Linked DNA regions of Drosophila melanogaster. The protein of the gene in region 1 interacts with the protein of each later gene in a pairwise test. Each region holds a gene or a part of one and is shown on either strand. Other genes may lie near its edges.

Region 1 (3,556 bases):
TTCCCATCAGCACCGCTTTTGCTACCCTTTACGGTGGCCGCAGGCTTTATTTTGATCCCGTGCTCAAGAATTATAATCCCACGCTGCACAGTAGTGGCCGAGATACAGATACCTGTGGCGGCATCCTCCCATCTTCCGATTGTTCCGATAGTCCTGATTGTCTTGTTGTCCTGCGGCCACATATCTATTTGCGAGCCGTGCAAATGCAAATTGTCCCTAATGTAGCTCAAGTAAGTAGCAATCGCCCAGTTCCCCGCGGCGAGGATTCTCCTTGGAATTCGAATCGAGTAGCCGAAATGGAACTGGTTCCGAATGGAAGAATTATAAAAAATAATATGTAAAAATTAAACAAAAGTCATGGTACCGTAAAAATTACACCATTCTATAGTTTAGAAGCTTATTTCATTGCTGTTTTCAACTATATATACTATATATTATATTCTATTTGAGCATGATCCGCCATCCTGACCAACGTCGTCTATAAGTTTATGCTCTCCAAATCTGAAATTATTTCAATGTAAATTCGAATTTCCGAACTAGTTTACTGGCACCAGCACACGTAGGAACCACTCGAATTAAAATCTTTTTTTGGCTTCGATGCGCGCAAAAAATATGCAAAATAAATGCGGGCAAAAAATCGCTGGCCAAGTCCATTAAAAGGGAATAAGTGCGTGCAAATCCTGGCCGCAGGATGTTTTTCATATTATCAGAACGCATATTACTTCATCGGAAATGAAGAGCTTTCGTTCCCCCCGCTAGTTGCCAAAGTAAACATGTGTGAATTGCTCGGGAAAAGTGAGGGATGATGGGCGGGATGATGGCCATGATATCCATATCTGTATCCGTATCCATAACCATAACCACGCGCCTTTTTCGCTACACTAAAACCGCAATACAAACACACCCACACCCACTTAAGAGAACGGAAAAAAGAACGAGGGGCACAGGATATGTTGGATGGAATGTACTGTGCACCACATTCAAGTTGATCCCCTTGTAAATCTCTAAATTGTTTTATGAACATATTGGCCGGGAAGGTGTAAACCTAATTTTCCTTTATGAACCGGACGAGGCAGGTAAAGTGGAAGTGCATCCATACCCGGACTTTTTGTTCCGGCTCAGCAGGATGCACTCCATATCAATGTGCTCTTTGTTTGGCCGCCTCATTTAAATCGTACCGCTGGCCAATTTGCATTCGCACTACAGCCAAATTGATCCGCCCTAATCCCAGTTTTAGTTTTGGTTCCCGAACTTCTTCTTCGCTACTTCGAGCGACCGACCGATCGACCGAGATTTATAAGCGCGGGATTTGAATTTGCTAGAAAAACAAAACTCCTCTGCCTTTTCCTCAGGCTTTAGCCTTAGCCCTGGTTTGGCTATGTTTCTGGCTGGGATTGGCTTGGATCTGGATTTCGGTCCGATCCGGCTTGGCTTCTGCTCTGGCTTTAACTTTGCGCTTGCCCTTTGCCGGGAAGGTCTGAACCAGAGTTTTGAAGTCAGTCGGTTGACCGGAAAAGGCCTTCAAGGGGTTGGCCGCGAGGGCAGGGAAATATAAGGGTTTTATCATTTAAGAAATGAAGAGATTTTGTTGGAATAAGTAATTCTTCAAAAATGAATAAAATTTCATTTCATTAATTTGCGGCATAATTTCATAATTATTAATTATATAAATTTTGTAATATATTGTATTGATTTTTAAGACAATTTTTTTTAATATGTATCTATGAGATTCTAAGTTAGAAACAATAATTATTATATCTAAAAGTAACATGGTGGCGCCATCTGTTGTTCCCTGAAAGCCCCTGTACTTAATTTCCGGTAACAGTAATAAGACGCCATCTGGAGTTCGCGTTGTTTACAATCTGTACACACACTGGAATTAACAGCTGTTACAGTCCGATAGACGATTATTCACATCACAATCTTAAACTGCTTTTAAAAAGATATTATTTAAAATTATTTACAAAGAAAACAACCAATTGCCAAATCAAAATTATAATGAATCATTATTAAAGCGCTTCATATGAACCAAAATATATAATTCTGTGAAGCGGTCGCTAGATTTCAGTTTCTGGCCACATTTTGGATAATTTGGCAACACTGCAATCTTGTTATTGCTTATGCTGAGAAGTAAACAAAAGGCGACGAATGTTTGTATTTTCCTAATAAAAGCCAATGGAGGATTGGAAATCGGAGGAAATGGCAAGGAAAAGAAACAGGAATAGGAGCAAGCAGCGCAGACGAAGGCAGAAAAGTGAGGGAAAGCCGAAGCCACATACATCTCGAGATCAGTGGAGCAATGTGGCTCAAAGTAACAATAATAGTCATTAATAAGTTTTTTAATAGTGTTAACCATTTAAAATTCCCTGTTATTGTAGTATACCAAAGCCTTTTTGAATGGCACCACAATCATGTTATGAGTCTCTGCCCTGAGGTTAATCCGAATCTGGATCAGGACCTTGAGGATATTCCCAAGGAAACAGGAACGTTTCACTGCCTGGACTACGTGTACGAGAGTTCTTCCGAGGATGAGGAGATCGAACCCATTGACGAGGGCTATCTGAAGTTCCTCGAGGTGACCATTAAGCATCAGCAGGAACTCAGGGATCGAAGAACTGCCCAAACCACCGACTCTTTAGATTAGAATTTTGGTAAAATAGGTTTTTACGCAGATGAAAACTTACAGTTCATTTTTATCTGGTAATGACTTAAAAATGTATCTTACGTAAAATGTTATAATTTAAGCTCAAGTTTATAGGTTTGGTATTTAGTTTTGGTAAGCAGAAAATGTACCTTTTATAGGGGATATTTTTATATGTAGCACTTTGTCTTGAACGTATTAAGTATATAAGATGTTTTGATAACTTAATGTTCATACTTAGCCATTCTAACTGAATGCCTCAAAGGGCTAGAATCAAGACCTGCGTAGGACGAAAAAGCAACTGTACTTTAATTCCCGGAACTCTTCAAGCGGGAGACAAGTGTCTGATATTCTGCTTTTCTCACATGGTTCTCCACTAATGAAGTTGTGCGAAGTTGGCAGTTTTTTGGCCAAAGGAAACGCACATTAACCCGACCAAGACTAATGCGATGTCATTTATAATCGCGCTGGGAGAACCAGAAGAAAGCTTCAAATTGGGGCATGACTAAAAAGGGAGAGGGGCTTTTGGTAGGATGGAGGACCATTTGTGGGTCAGAGACAATGTCTGCTGCTCGTGTGGGCGTGGCAAGTTGGGCATTAGCCAACATTTTTCGGCACTTTTCAGCAGAAAACCTAATTAAGACGTCCGACTCTGAGTGGCAATGGATTTTCTTGGCTTACTTATATCCCCCATCCTCTCTCTCCTGACCAAGCTCCTCCGCCCCACGGAGCTCGTTTCCCACCTGCTCCTCATTCTCCACTGAAATCACGACTGGCGACGACAACTGCGAACGACCTTTCTAATGCCCGGCCACTGCATAAATCATGGCCCAAATGGCGGCCACCTGCAACCGGCAGCAATAGCAGTAAGCCAACAGCAACTGCAAGTGCACTGTAAGAAATCGCATTGCTCGA
Region 2 (7,813 bases), on another chromosome or scaffold:
TGAGCGCTCCTCGCTGCTTGCAGTATCTGAGCGCCATCAGGGTGTCCGCTGTCTCGCCCGATTGGGAGATGAAGAAGCACACGTCGTCCCGGAAAATGGGCGTGTTTCTGTCCAGAAAATCGGAGGCCAGTTCCACCATAACGGGCAGTTCGGTCAGTTCCTCCAGCAGCTGCCTGGTGGCCACCGCACTGTGGTAGGATGTGCCGCACGCAATTAGCATCAAGCGGCGGCAGCGCTTGATCTCCGGTATGTACTCCTTGATGCCACCCAGAACCACGGTCTGCGTATCGAACCTCATCCTGCCGCGCATGGTGTTGACCACGGATTCCGGCTGCTCGAAGATCTCCTTCAGCATAAAGTAGTCGTAGTTGCCCTTCATGATCTGCTGGATCTCCATTTTCAGCGTGATGATCTCGCGGGCGTGCGGATCATCGGATGATTTGTTTAGGCGATGAATGCTGAGCGTGCCATCGCTCTTGACGGCGGCCACGTCGTCATCTTCCAGGTAAATCACCCGATTCGTGTGCTCTATAACAGCCGATGCGTCCGAGGCGAAGAAGTACTCCACTTCCTTGCGCTCCAGCGGTTGAAACTCGGCGTTGCAATCGCCGGGCGGCAATAGTTGATAGGCCTGCTGCTGCGGCTGACCATGTGGCCGATGGGCCTTGGCGTACAGGATGGGTATGTGATCGGTGGCCAGCTTGGTCTTGGCCTTGATGCCCACCAGAAGCGGTGAGCCTCGCCTGGAGGCCACGCACTCGCCCGGGAAGTGCTTCGACTTGAAGGCGATGGCGAAGGCGCCCTCCAGCTGCTGAATGGCCTGCTCCACGAGCTCGCCGAAAGTGTAGCCAGGATGCTGCTGCCACAGGTGGTGTACCAGCTTGGCAATCACCTCCGTGTCCGTGTCGGACTCAAATACATATCCGCGCTTCTCCAGCAGCGTCTTCACATCCTTGTAGTTGGTTATAATGCCATTGTGCACCACCACAAAGCTATTATCCTCATCGGATCGCTGCGGATGCGAGTTGACCTCGGAGGGCACACCGTGGGTGGCCCAGCGCGTGTGTGCTATGCCTATGTGGGTGTCGATGGGCAGCGAGTAGTCCTGGCCGCGACACACCTCCGCCACCGCATCCTCCAGCACCTTCACCTTCCCGGTGCGCTTCACCAGCATTATGGACTGTGCCTCGCCAGAGTTCAGCGCATCGATGGCTATGCCCGTGGAGTCGTAGCCGCGGTACTCCAGCCGCTTCAGTCCCTGCAACAGGAGATCCAGGACCTCCTGTCGCGACTTGGGCGTCAAGTAGTTTAGGTACGCGAATATGCCACACATTCTGAAATGCGATTGCTTTTGCTGAAATTTGCTGGTGATTCGTGGTTTTCCACGTCGCAATGTTAACTTTCCGGTCAGCTGAGGCTGATCTTACACTTCTGAGGCGGCTGCAATGCGATTGTCGTGTTTTTATCGCGACACTGGCTGGAATTTTTTTTGTTTTTCTCTGATAAACCAACCCAATTATTTGCTTTTTCGGCGAAAAGAACACGTCTTCGCCCTGCTCTCCCGCTCGCACGCACACACGCGCCGCTCTTGCGCTCTCGCTCACGCACACAGCTACAGCCACACGCGAGCTGCCATGTAAACATTGGCTTTGTGTGACCGTATTGCAGCCAGGGATGGAACGGTAATTTAATAAATTATTTTTTTACTATGTATTGAATAATATAATAAACTTTTAAAGCTATATACAAAGATGTTAACTGTGTAAATTGTCTGAAAAAGCTTAATATAATATGACCATAAAGGCCAGATCTCATTTCATAGTTGGTTTAAACGACATTCTGTTTTTCCCAAAAATATGAGCATTGAAGATAATATTTTCAACCCATGTTCTAAAGGTTTTGGAAGTTATACCAAAAAGCATAAAATGATTATTGGTTGCTGAGAGTAATCAATGGTGTATTTTGACTATATATAGCTCAAAGTTTACCGTTTATTTGAGCGTACATATGTATGTATTAACAAATTTAAGAAAATATATATATTAAAATTAATATATCGATACCCGAAAATATGCTAAGCATATTGCACATCGATATTTCTAACTGTATGTTTTTGACATCCCTAGTTCTGAGTAGAGCTGGCAACGCCGACATTGTGCAACTCGAAAACGGCGTGAAATACGTATTAAACAGCATTTATTGGCAGAAATCGGCGCATATAATGACGGTAAACAAACGCGACGCGGGTGCCACGCGACCGCGGTGCTTCTTTGACATTTCCCTGGGCGGCCTGGGCATGGGCCGCATTGTCTTCGAGCTCTTCAACGATGTGGCGCCCAAAACGGCCGAAAATTTCCGCGCACTCTGCACGGGCGAAAAGGGATTTGGCCTAATCACCGGCAAGAAGCTGCAGTACAAGGGTGTGATATTCCACCGGGTGGTCAAGGACTTCATGGTCCAGGCGGGCGACTTCTCTGCGGGCAACGGCACCGGCGGCGAGTCCATCTACGGCGGGACGTTCGAGGGTGAGTTCTTCCGGCTTCCGATTCGATGCCTGCATGCATACATACACGCTTGTGTGTGTGTGCTGCTGTTTGTGTGGGAAAAAATCAATACAGTGGTTATCTGATAAGAAGAACAGAAAACGAAAGGGAATATACAGGGTACTTAAAGTGCAATTAATAAAGAGTCAGTAGGGGGAGAAATGTAATAAAAACACTGTAAATACAGACACCCACATTTGGAGATTTAAAAACTTCCAGCCAATTACATCTAAACTGCACTACAATAATCTACTTAAGTTTAATCTTTGTCGAAAAAAATTAAAACGCTTTTGATATGCCAGCCAAAGTGTACAAATGCCCCATTTAAATGTCAAAAATAAATGTTTACTCAAGCGACTCAATTTAAATTTACATTTTGGCAAATATTTCCATTAGAAAGATAAGGGAATGGTGCACATCATACATCTACATATTGCTAATTATACGTTTGGGTGGAAAATGGGACAAATATGCAAATAGAAGCGGCTTTGGGAAATCCAATTACATGCGCATTAAAAAGTTATCTAGAAGATAACTTGAGTTGCTCATCTCTCTTGGGCTTTAAAGTAACATTTAAAGTGAATTTGGTTTAAACAATCCGATTCCTCTTTCCAGATGAGAGCTTCGAAAAGAAGCACGATCGTCCCTTCCTGCTGTCGATGGCCAACCGGGGCAAGAACACAAATGGCTCGCAGTTCTTTATGTAAGTGCTCTCGACGGAGGACCGTAACCGGCTGGTCCGGACTAACGTGGCCGTAAATTTAGTTTCAGTTCTGTTTCAGGCACCGATATTACAGCTAAACTCTCTTCGTCTTCTTTTTGATCTATACTTAAACCACTGTTGTTGTTCATTAATCTATTGCCATTTAGCCTTAGCCCGTGGGCGTTAAAGTGTGAGCTAGCGTCCCACTGACCAGCGGACAGATGCATCGCAATCTGTCCTCCATCGGCCGATGCACCGCCATCCCAGCATCCCTAGTGCATTTGGTCTGTGGGTCCAAAAACCAAGCGAAAGACGATGCAGGTCTTTCAGCTCCATGGTCTTTGGTCCCTGGGCCTGGGTCTCAGTGTGTGTCTCAATCTCTCTCTCTCTCGCTGTCGGCTCCTTGTGGATCTTTGCGGGAATCTTGGGCTGGATCCTCACGATGGATCTGCCAGATGACAATGTGCTGGCCATGGCCAGCGGCAGCGGCTCTTGCGGTTGGTGGCTTGCCAAAATCCTGTGTGCCACCTCTGCCTACACACCTAGAAACCTTTAAACTTTGTTGCACATGACATTGTCTCCGCCACAACCGACAACAATAACAACAACAACAACTGAAACAACAACAACAACACCGATTTCAACTACAACTGCCTACTGCAGCCCAACAACCAGTTAGCCAAAGTGTAAAGAATATTTTTCTCTTCTTCTGTTTCTCATTGTAGTACAACACAGCCTGCGCCACATTTGGACAAGTAAGTTAGCTTTGAACACGTTAAGTAGATCAACAGATTAATAGCGTCATATTTTCTCGTTGCAGTATCCATGTTGTATTCGGCCAAGTTATATCCGGTCAGGAGTTGGTGCGCCAATTGGAGGGCTTGCCTGTCGATCGGAACTCACGCCCGCTGCAGGATGCAGCCATTGCCAACTGCGGTGAACTAGTTAGACAGACAAAGGGTACGACTGTAATCCATTTTCGCATATCCATTATACTTGACATGCTTCTCGTCACATAGCCAAAAAGGAGAAGAAGCACAAGAGGCGCTCCACGGCCACCGAAGATTCAAACAGCGAGGAAAGTGAGGCTGAAGCAAAGGTCGTGCGCAAGGCCAAGAAGAAAAAACGCAGCCGCAAAGATACGAAGTCGCAAAGCGATAGCGAAGAGTATGTGATAGTGGTTGTTATTTTGTAATTTGTTTCATTTCATTTCGTTCGTACAGCAATGAAACAAGTCGCGGGAATGGAAAACATGACCAGACCCCGCAGGATGATGACGAGGACCGCGAGGAAGGCGAACTGCATCCGCTGGTCACAATTACAAAGATAGATCCTAACGAGATACCAGAGGTAACTGAAGTGGATTCTCTGTTCCTGTTCTTGAATATGTACCCTTCATCCTATACTCTTCTGTATTTAGGTATCGAACAAATTCCTAATGCGCGCAGAGCGATCAAAGTCGCTGGATCGTGAGGAGCGTGGAGCACGCGGGCAGGATCGTGATCGAGGCAAAGATCAGGATCGAGACCGCAGCCGTAACAATTTCGGTTGGTCAAAGAAGCAGGCACCGCCTACATCGCGTAGTGGTCGCATTGTCAAAGGACGCGGAGTGTTTGTGAGTATATAAAACTGTTTGTAACTCCGCACACAATTTCTAAAATGACACCATTTACAGCGCTTTCGCACCCCGTCGCGTAGTCGTTCGCGCAGCACTACGCCACCTCACTGGAAGCATGCCCAGAAGCGCACCATCAAGTTGTCCGACTTGGAGCGCATTGAGGAGGAGAGCAAGATGCGCGAGGAGGAGATGAAGCGGCGCGAGCATGAGAGAAAGCGTCGCCACGAGGAGGCCACAAAGAATCCTAAGCAGTCCTTTTTCGAGCTATCCCATGCCAGCACTTACGGTGGCAAAATAACTCCGGATCGATTCTCTCCAGAGCACAAAGCCAAGTCGAAGGACACCGCAGACCGCGGTAAAGCCAAGGAGAGAGAAAAGGCTGGCGAGAAGGATAAGGCTAGGGATGTGACTCCTGTAAAACGCCGCAAGTCGATGGACATGAACGCCTTGGACTACGAGCAGCAGACAGAATCCGAAGTCGAGTCCGAGGACGAGGAGCAGTTGAAGGTGAAACCACCAAGCAAGCAGGATATCAGAGTGGAGCCATCGACCAGCAAGGATCGCAACGCGAAACGCGATGAGCGCAAGCCCACCGAGGAGAAGGCCAAGCCAAAGCGCAGCCGTTCCCGGAGCCCTCGTCGCCAATCTCCTGCTCGTCGTCAGCAACGCTCGCCTGCCCGACGTCCTGGCCAAAACTACAACCAAAACCAGAATCAGAATCAAAATCAGAATCAGAATCAGAATCAGCTTAATCGTGGCAATCGCCGAAATCCCTTCGCGGACAGAGATCGCCGCCGTCGCTCGCGCTCTCAGGATAATGAGTACCGCAATCGTTACCCCCTGTCACCAATCAGAGGAAGAGGCTCGCCCAGTGGAGACCGCCGGCGTCAGCAGCGCTCCCGCAGTCAGAACCGTAGGCAGGATTCACCCAGCCAGAGGCGTCAGTTGTCGCCGGGCCGAAAACGTCAGGATTCGCCGAGTAAGAAGCGTCCCAATTCAACGGAAAGAAAGTGGCGTGACTCGCCTGAAAGAAAGCGAGACGATTCACACGACAGGAAGCGGGAGGCTTCTCCCAACTGGAAGCGTGACGATTCACCTGCAAGGAAGCGCAAGGACTCCGCCAATAGAAAGCGGGAGGATTCCCAAGACAAAAAGATACAGGACAGCAAAAGGCAGGAGGATTCTGCGGGTAAGAAACGAGAGGATAGCCCGAGCAAAAAGCGAAAGGATTCTGATAAGAAGCGTCAGGATTCTCCTGTGAAAAGACAAGAATCGCCAGGCAGAAAGCGTCAGGACTCGCCGGAAAGGAAACGCAGGGACTCGCCTGACAGAAGGCGCAAGGATTCACCGGCCAGACGACGCCAGGAATCTTCTGGCAGAAGGCGCCAGGACTCCGATGGCAGAAGACGCCGTGAATCGTCCGGCAACAGGCGCAGTCGCAGCCGTGGACGTTGGCACAGTTCCTCGCGCAGTCGCAGTCCCTCAACTAGTCGCTCTCGCCGCCGTCGCTCGCGCAGTCCGCTGCCCAAGCTCACCTCCGCGCTGCCCATGAGCGAGGAGCGCGAGAAGGCGGCCCGCGAGAAGATGCAGAAGCGTGCGGAGGCCGCCATGCTGATGAAGGAGCACATGCGCAACGAGATCGCCAAGGAGGAGGAACGCCGCATGGAGAAGCAGCGCCAGGACGACTTGGATAAGGAGCGCACCACCCGCGAGCTCAACGAACTGGAGCGCCTGAAGGCCGAGACGCTCAGGAAGCTGCATGAAGAGGATTCCGTGGACCCGGATGCGGCTGCATCCGCCGGAAGTGCGTCCAAAACCGATGCCACCAGCACCGGCGCCAAGAGCAAACGCGATTCCAGCTCAGAGAATCGGCATCGCGAAAAGAAGCGCAAGCATAAGAAGTCCAAAAAGTCCTCGGGTCGATCCGATAACGATTAAAAAACTAATCCTAGACTTTAGTTGATATACCCCAAACGGTGGCCGACCTGGTCAAGTTCCACCAGTTTCAGGTGGAACTTTCAAATTGCAATTGTAAAAATCGCGACCCCCAATTTTGTAGCCAAGTCTGTTTAATAAAGGTAAACGTCACTGTACTTATCCACTGTCCATTTATTTTTTAACTTTTTTTCTGAATTTGCAAAGATAATGCAATATTTTAAGCAAAATAACATGTGTGAATGAGCACATTATTTCAAGATCTGAAAAATATTACATATTTTTTTATTGATCTCAATTTTTGTACTGGTAAATATAATTTATATTATATTATATAATTTATATTTATTTTAAATTTTTCAAAAAGACTTGAAAAAAAATGAATCCCAATAGCCGTGTTCCACACCTAGCCAAGACTCGAGCCAATGTGGTGAGTTTGGACAATCTCTTAGTGCTGCCCATACAAAATGTGCTGCTGTTATTTGCTTGGTTGCATTGTTTTAGAAATGTTGAGTCGCTAGGTGGCGGCACTTCTAAAAGGACTTAAAGGACATTAATGTTTTTCGATTTTATTATTTGCGAGGCACTGTTTCACGCTAATTGATTGACTATTTTCTCTTTAATAATATTTTACAACCTTCGCTATGCTTATTTAACATTTGTTTATTGAATACTTTTCTACAGTATGTTTATTTTTATTTATTTAAAATTGTTTATTTAAAATTTCTTTTGTACCATTTGCAATCCGAGGGCTTTCCAAGATAATCCGACCACTTCGCACATCCGAAAAGTTGCAAAGCAAAGTGTAATTGTTAAACAAATTAAACGTGCAACAGCATATTTTTTATTTTCGAGCAGATTGGTCGGAATTGCCGTTTCTTAGTTGTTTGAACTCCCTAATTGCCAAGTGAACTTGCATAAACACTCGTATATCCTCTGACCAAATTGCCCTGTGTTTGCCTAATATTCTTATATTTTATGTGCATTTCTTTTGGACCGAAGACGACCCTTTGG
Region 3 (3,896 bases), on another chromosome or scaffold:
ATTGCCTGGTTTGCCGAATGAAAGGCCATATTCCCGAAGAACTTTAGATACGCGGCAAAAGACTCAGAAGATGTCCTCCAGGCCATCTAGGAAACCATTGCAGTCTCTACAAACTGTCGGTCGGAATACGAGTTCCAGCCTGAAGCGCATAGGAAGTCCGATCTCCGAGGAAGAATTTGGTGTCCTGGTGCAGCAGGATTGTAAGGCAGAGCAGCATCACACCGATCGCCAAAACCTGGCGGACATAATCCTTATGCAGGCCCGTCGCATCGAGAAGCAGCAGCGGGAGATGAAAAGAATAAAGGCGCACTATGAGCGCCAGGTGTCCACCATCAAGAACAATGCCATCATGCTGGAGTCGCATCTGCAAAAGGTGCTGGCCAGTGTCGAAAGGGATCGGGCCAAGCGGATTGGCCACCACTGCCAGGACATGCTCGGTGCCGTGGAGAAGCTGCAAAGGAGCGACATCCAAGTGAAGCCGCAATCTTCGGCCAACCAATTGCTGATCCAGTATCTTCACTCCAAGAAAATTTCGCATTCGACCAAGAAGTCCAATGAAAACACAAGTAGGTACAGGAATATGTTGTGAATCGTATTCTTGTGTGTACATTGTGGTTTCACTGGGTTTTGTGGTCAGCTTAAATTAGCATATATGTGTATTAATAGAAGTACAAGTTATTATAAAATAAAATAATGGCAACAATGAATTTATTTTATTTTACTAAGTTAATTCTCAACAAGGACGGAGTTGGGCACAATCATTATCTGTTCTATTCCTCGTCCTCCTCCGAGGCAGTTACATCCACGATCGCGTTAGACATGCTCTGTTGTATCTTTTGCTGGACATTGGCGTCCTGGACCAGGTGATCTGGCTGGATGTAGCACAAGTTGGCGCAGCCGAGCACCGGGCATCGGATGCCAATGCGGTCCATTATGATCGGCATCACCGAGTCGCGGTCGTAGATGTGACCGCACATTTTGTTGCGCATGGGGTTCTTTATCAGGGCCTTGGACCAGGGATCGTAGAACGAGAAGACCTCGCTGCCGGAGTCTTCCATAATAAGGTCCTCATCATAGGCGGTGCCATTCGCTTGATCATTGACTTCCGCACCCGCCTGACCAGCTGCTGATTCAACTGCTTTTACGAAGTTCTTGAACTCGTGTAGATTCTTGACATTGATGCGCTTCTGCTCCACCGCTTTGGAGCGTTCCTTCCAGACTTCCTCGAACTCCTCGATGGTGGCGCTAGAGTTTTTGACCTGATTCATAGCCTTGTTGAGCGATTGGTGCTTTATCTTCATATGGACTACATTCACGGCGTGCTCCACGCTCTGCTCAACGCTCTGCTCGAGCAACTTCTTGATCTTCCCGCCATCGCTGAAATCGGACACGAAATCTGACATTTCCTTGAAGAACTTTTTGTTTTCCACTAAAGTGGAAAGTGCGGAATCAGCAAGGTAATTGAATTCCATTTTATCCAGAATATTTAAGCCAAATGTTCAAGACTGATGGTTAGTTAGGCTAGCCTATTAATTAGTGGTCTTTGAATGGACTTATATTTATAAATAACGTTGATATTTACCTGAAATTAGGTTTTTAAGCAAATGCCACGTGGAATGTAATCGCTTAAAAACTGGAATCATCGAGAATTTATCGTAATTTACGATATCGATCTTAAATCGAAAGCACAGATTTTTCGGTTTTCGTTTCGTTCGAATTTTTCGATTTGTAAAACGGGCACTTTTATCTGGTCGAAATAAAAAGTAAATGCCTTTTTTTTATATCAAATCAGATCTTATTTACAGGGGAACAAATATCGAAGGTTGCCATTGAATTGCGTAATCAAAAAAAATTTCAATTACCGGAGCATGCTTGCATAACAACGTTTTATTTAAGTTTTTAAATGTCAGATCTCGGATTCCCCACTGAATGCCTTCAAAATCCCAATAGACACCCCAATCTTGAAGCAATTTTCCAATAGACAAGCCGTGTGTTTTGGACTACCAAAATTTCATTCGTCCAGCGCGATGCCATACCACGATCGAGCCAAAGCCCGATTGGAGAACGAGGTGGTTCTCCTGCGGAGCGAGGTGTCCTCGCTGCGCTCCAAGCACAACCAACATCGTAAGTATCGGCAGGAGCAGGTGGTTCTGCAGGCGCGTATGGAACAGGAGATCCAGCTTCTACAGAGCGAACTAGCCGCAGCTCAATCGAATCGGAATGAGCGGGAGTGCGGTGGAGCCGAGCAGTGTTCAGTGTTGAGCCAGCAGCTGGAGAAACTTGACGAGCACGTGGCTAAGCAGGAGAAGTACATTGCCTTCCTGGAGGAGCAGATCAATCTCACACGTAACAAGTACCAGCAACGTATGACCGAAGTCCGGCAGAATGCCGAACTGGTGGAAAAGGAGATGAAGCGGGTGCGCCGCGAGATGAAGACCATTGCCGAGCAGGCTGGGGAAGTGGACAGCCTCAAGAACCAAGTCGGTTTCCTCACCGCCAAGCTGGAGCGCCGGAACGCCATCATCTCCAGGTACGAAGCCCAGCAGGAGGAAATGATAAGTATCATGGCAAGTCTCCAGAAGAAGAAAGTTAAAAAAACGCGCCATCAGAAGATTCACAACAACCATGACGATAAAGCTGATGTCAGATCGATCCCTTCCGAACAGCTACCAATGCCCAAGCCGAGTGATCAAATAAAGCATCGCAAGAAACGGAAATTTGGCGAAGGCGATAAGGAAGATTCCAGCTCGGCGGGCTCTGATAAGCCACCAAGTTTTGAGGCGAATCCCAGGTCTTCAAAAATTCGATCCCATAACTTGGACTGCCTCTCCTCTGCGCTGAAAAATAAGTTAAGTAACCAGCAACAGTCAACTGTCGAGGGATGATCTGATTTCGTACCCATTATCTGATGGATATTCAAATTTATGGTTTTTAGATAAGCTTTTTACAAAATTTCTTCTGTAACCGAATATCTCTGTAAAAATTGTTATGTACATACATATATAGATCTCTTATGAACAGTAAATGATTAAACTAACCAAACGGAACTTCAGTCAGCACTTCGTTTTCGACGGGCGTCGGAGTTCCTGGAACTCCCGATTTACAAGTTCATTGACAAGCTGCTGGATTATCCATTCAGCAGTATGGAATCGGGTTAATGATCCGGCTTAATGGATGGCTTTATTTTGATTTATTTTGTGTGGTAAGCAATAGCTTAACTGCATTTGTTGGGAAAGTTTGAATGATCCGATGATGTAATTAATACATATGAATATGTATTAATCAATCAATTATTATTGTTTAATGCGTAAGTTGTGCTTGTAATAATGGTCATTTATTCACGGAAATTTCTAAGAAATGCATATGTTCTCTGATTATTATAAACTAATAATAAACTACTAAAGATGTAACTTTTTTGTTTATATTAGTAAGCTGTGAAGTTAGGTAGATTTTCAGGCTATATGAAGGATTAGACAGTTGCAGGACTATCAGTTGATGTTTAAGAATATTTATGGGATCCTTCATGTTCGTATAAGCAACACTAATCAGAAGAATAGGTAGACTTGTCTCAGTGGCTTATCCGAGGGCTTAAAGGTAGTGCTGCTATTTCTAGCCCTGCAATCAAGTCACGTTCGCTGGGTGTTCTAATGCAATATTTTAGCATAAGAGCACGTACCGCAGTATTGCATAAATTCTGAAAGTGCCGGGCAATGAGTCAGTACGGGATTGCAGAATGGAGCCAGCTGAAGTCGGGCGTCTATTGAATTCTAATGCTGCACCAGGAAGTGCGTGCAGACATTGGGCAATCAATCGCCGGTCAATTGGAATCGTTTGTGGATAGCAATTGAGTGTGATTGGATATGGCTTCTACTCCGGCAATTGGGGCAAAAGTTCAA

Evidence for each region. The genes of interacting proteins can lie anywhere in the genome.
Region 2: the proteins of CG13689 (region 1) and Moca-cyp interact in a two-hybrid assay, tested with the Drosophila melanogaster proteins (one large-scale study listed by BioGRID).
Region 3: the proteins of CG13689 (region 1) and CG13733 interact in a two-hybrid assay, tested with the Drosophila melanogaster proteins (one large-scale study listed by BioGRID).

The regions. Positions count from the first base shown.
Region 1 is NT_033779.5:600,696-604,251, forward strand, and holds CG13689 (uncharacterized protein), read left to right. Parts: upstream 1-2,117; 5' UTR 2,118-2,175; coding exon 2,176-2,311; intron 2,312-2,378; coding exon 2,379-2,644; 3' UTR 2,645-2,867; downstream 2,868-3,556.
Region 2 is NT_033777.3:28,338,214-28,346,026, forward strand, and holds Moca-cyp (Moca-cyp), read left to right. Parts: upstream 1-2,120; 5' UTR 2,121-2,221; coding exon 2,222-2,525; exon of another isoform or gene 2,526-2,587; intron 2,588-3,158; coding exon 3,159-3,246; exon of another isoform or gene 3,247-3,971; coding exon 3,972-4,001; intron 4,002-4,066; coding exon 4,067-4,206; intron 4,207-4,265; coding exon 4,266-4,413; intron 4,414-4,469; coding exon 4,470-4,596; intron 4,597-4,666; coding exon 4,667-4,861; intron 4,862-4,921; coding exon 4,922-6,802; 3' UTR 6,803-6,956; downstream 6,957-7,813. Other genes in the region: Gfat2 (Glutamine:fructose-6-phosphate aminotransferase 2), read right to left, coding at 1-1,333.
Region 3 is NT_037436.4:17,476,938-17,480,833, reverse strand, and holds CG13733 (uncharacterized protein), read left to right. Parts: upstream 1-1,907; 5' UTR 1,908-2,027; coding exon 2,028-2,885; 3' UTR 2,886-3,039; downstream 3,040-3,896. Other genes in the region: CG6333 (uncharacterized protein), read left to right, coding at 1-589; qjt (quijote), read right to left, coding at 771-1,472.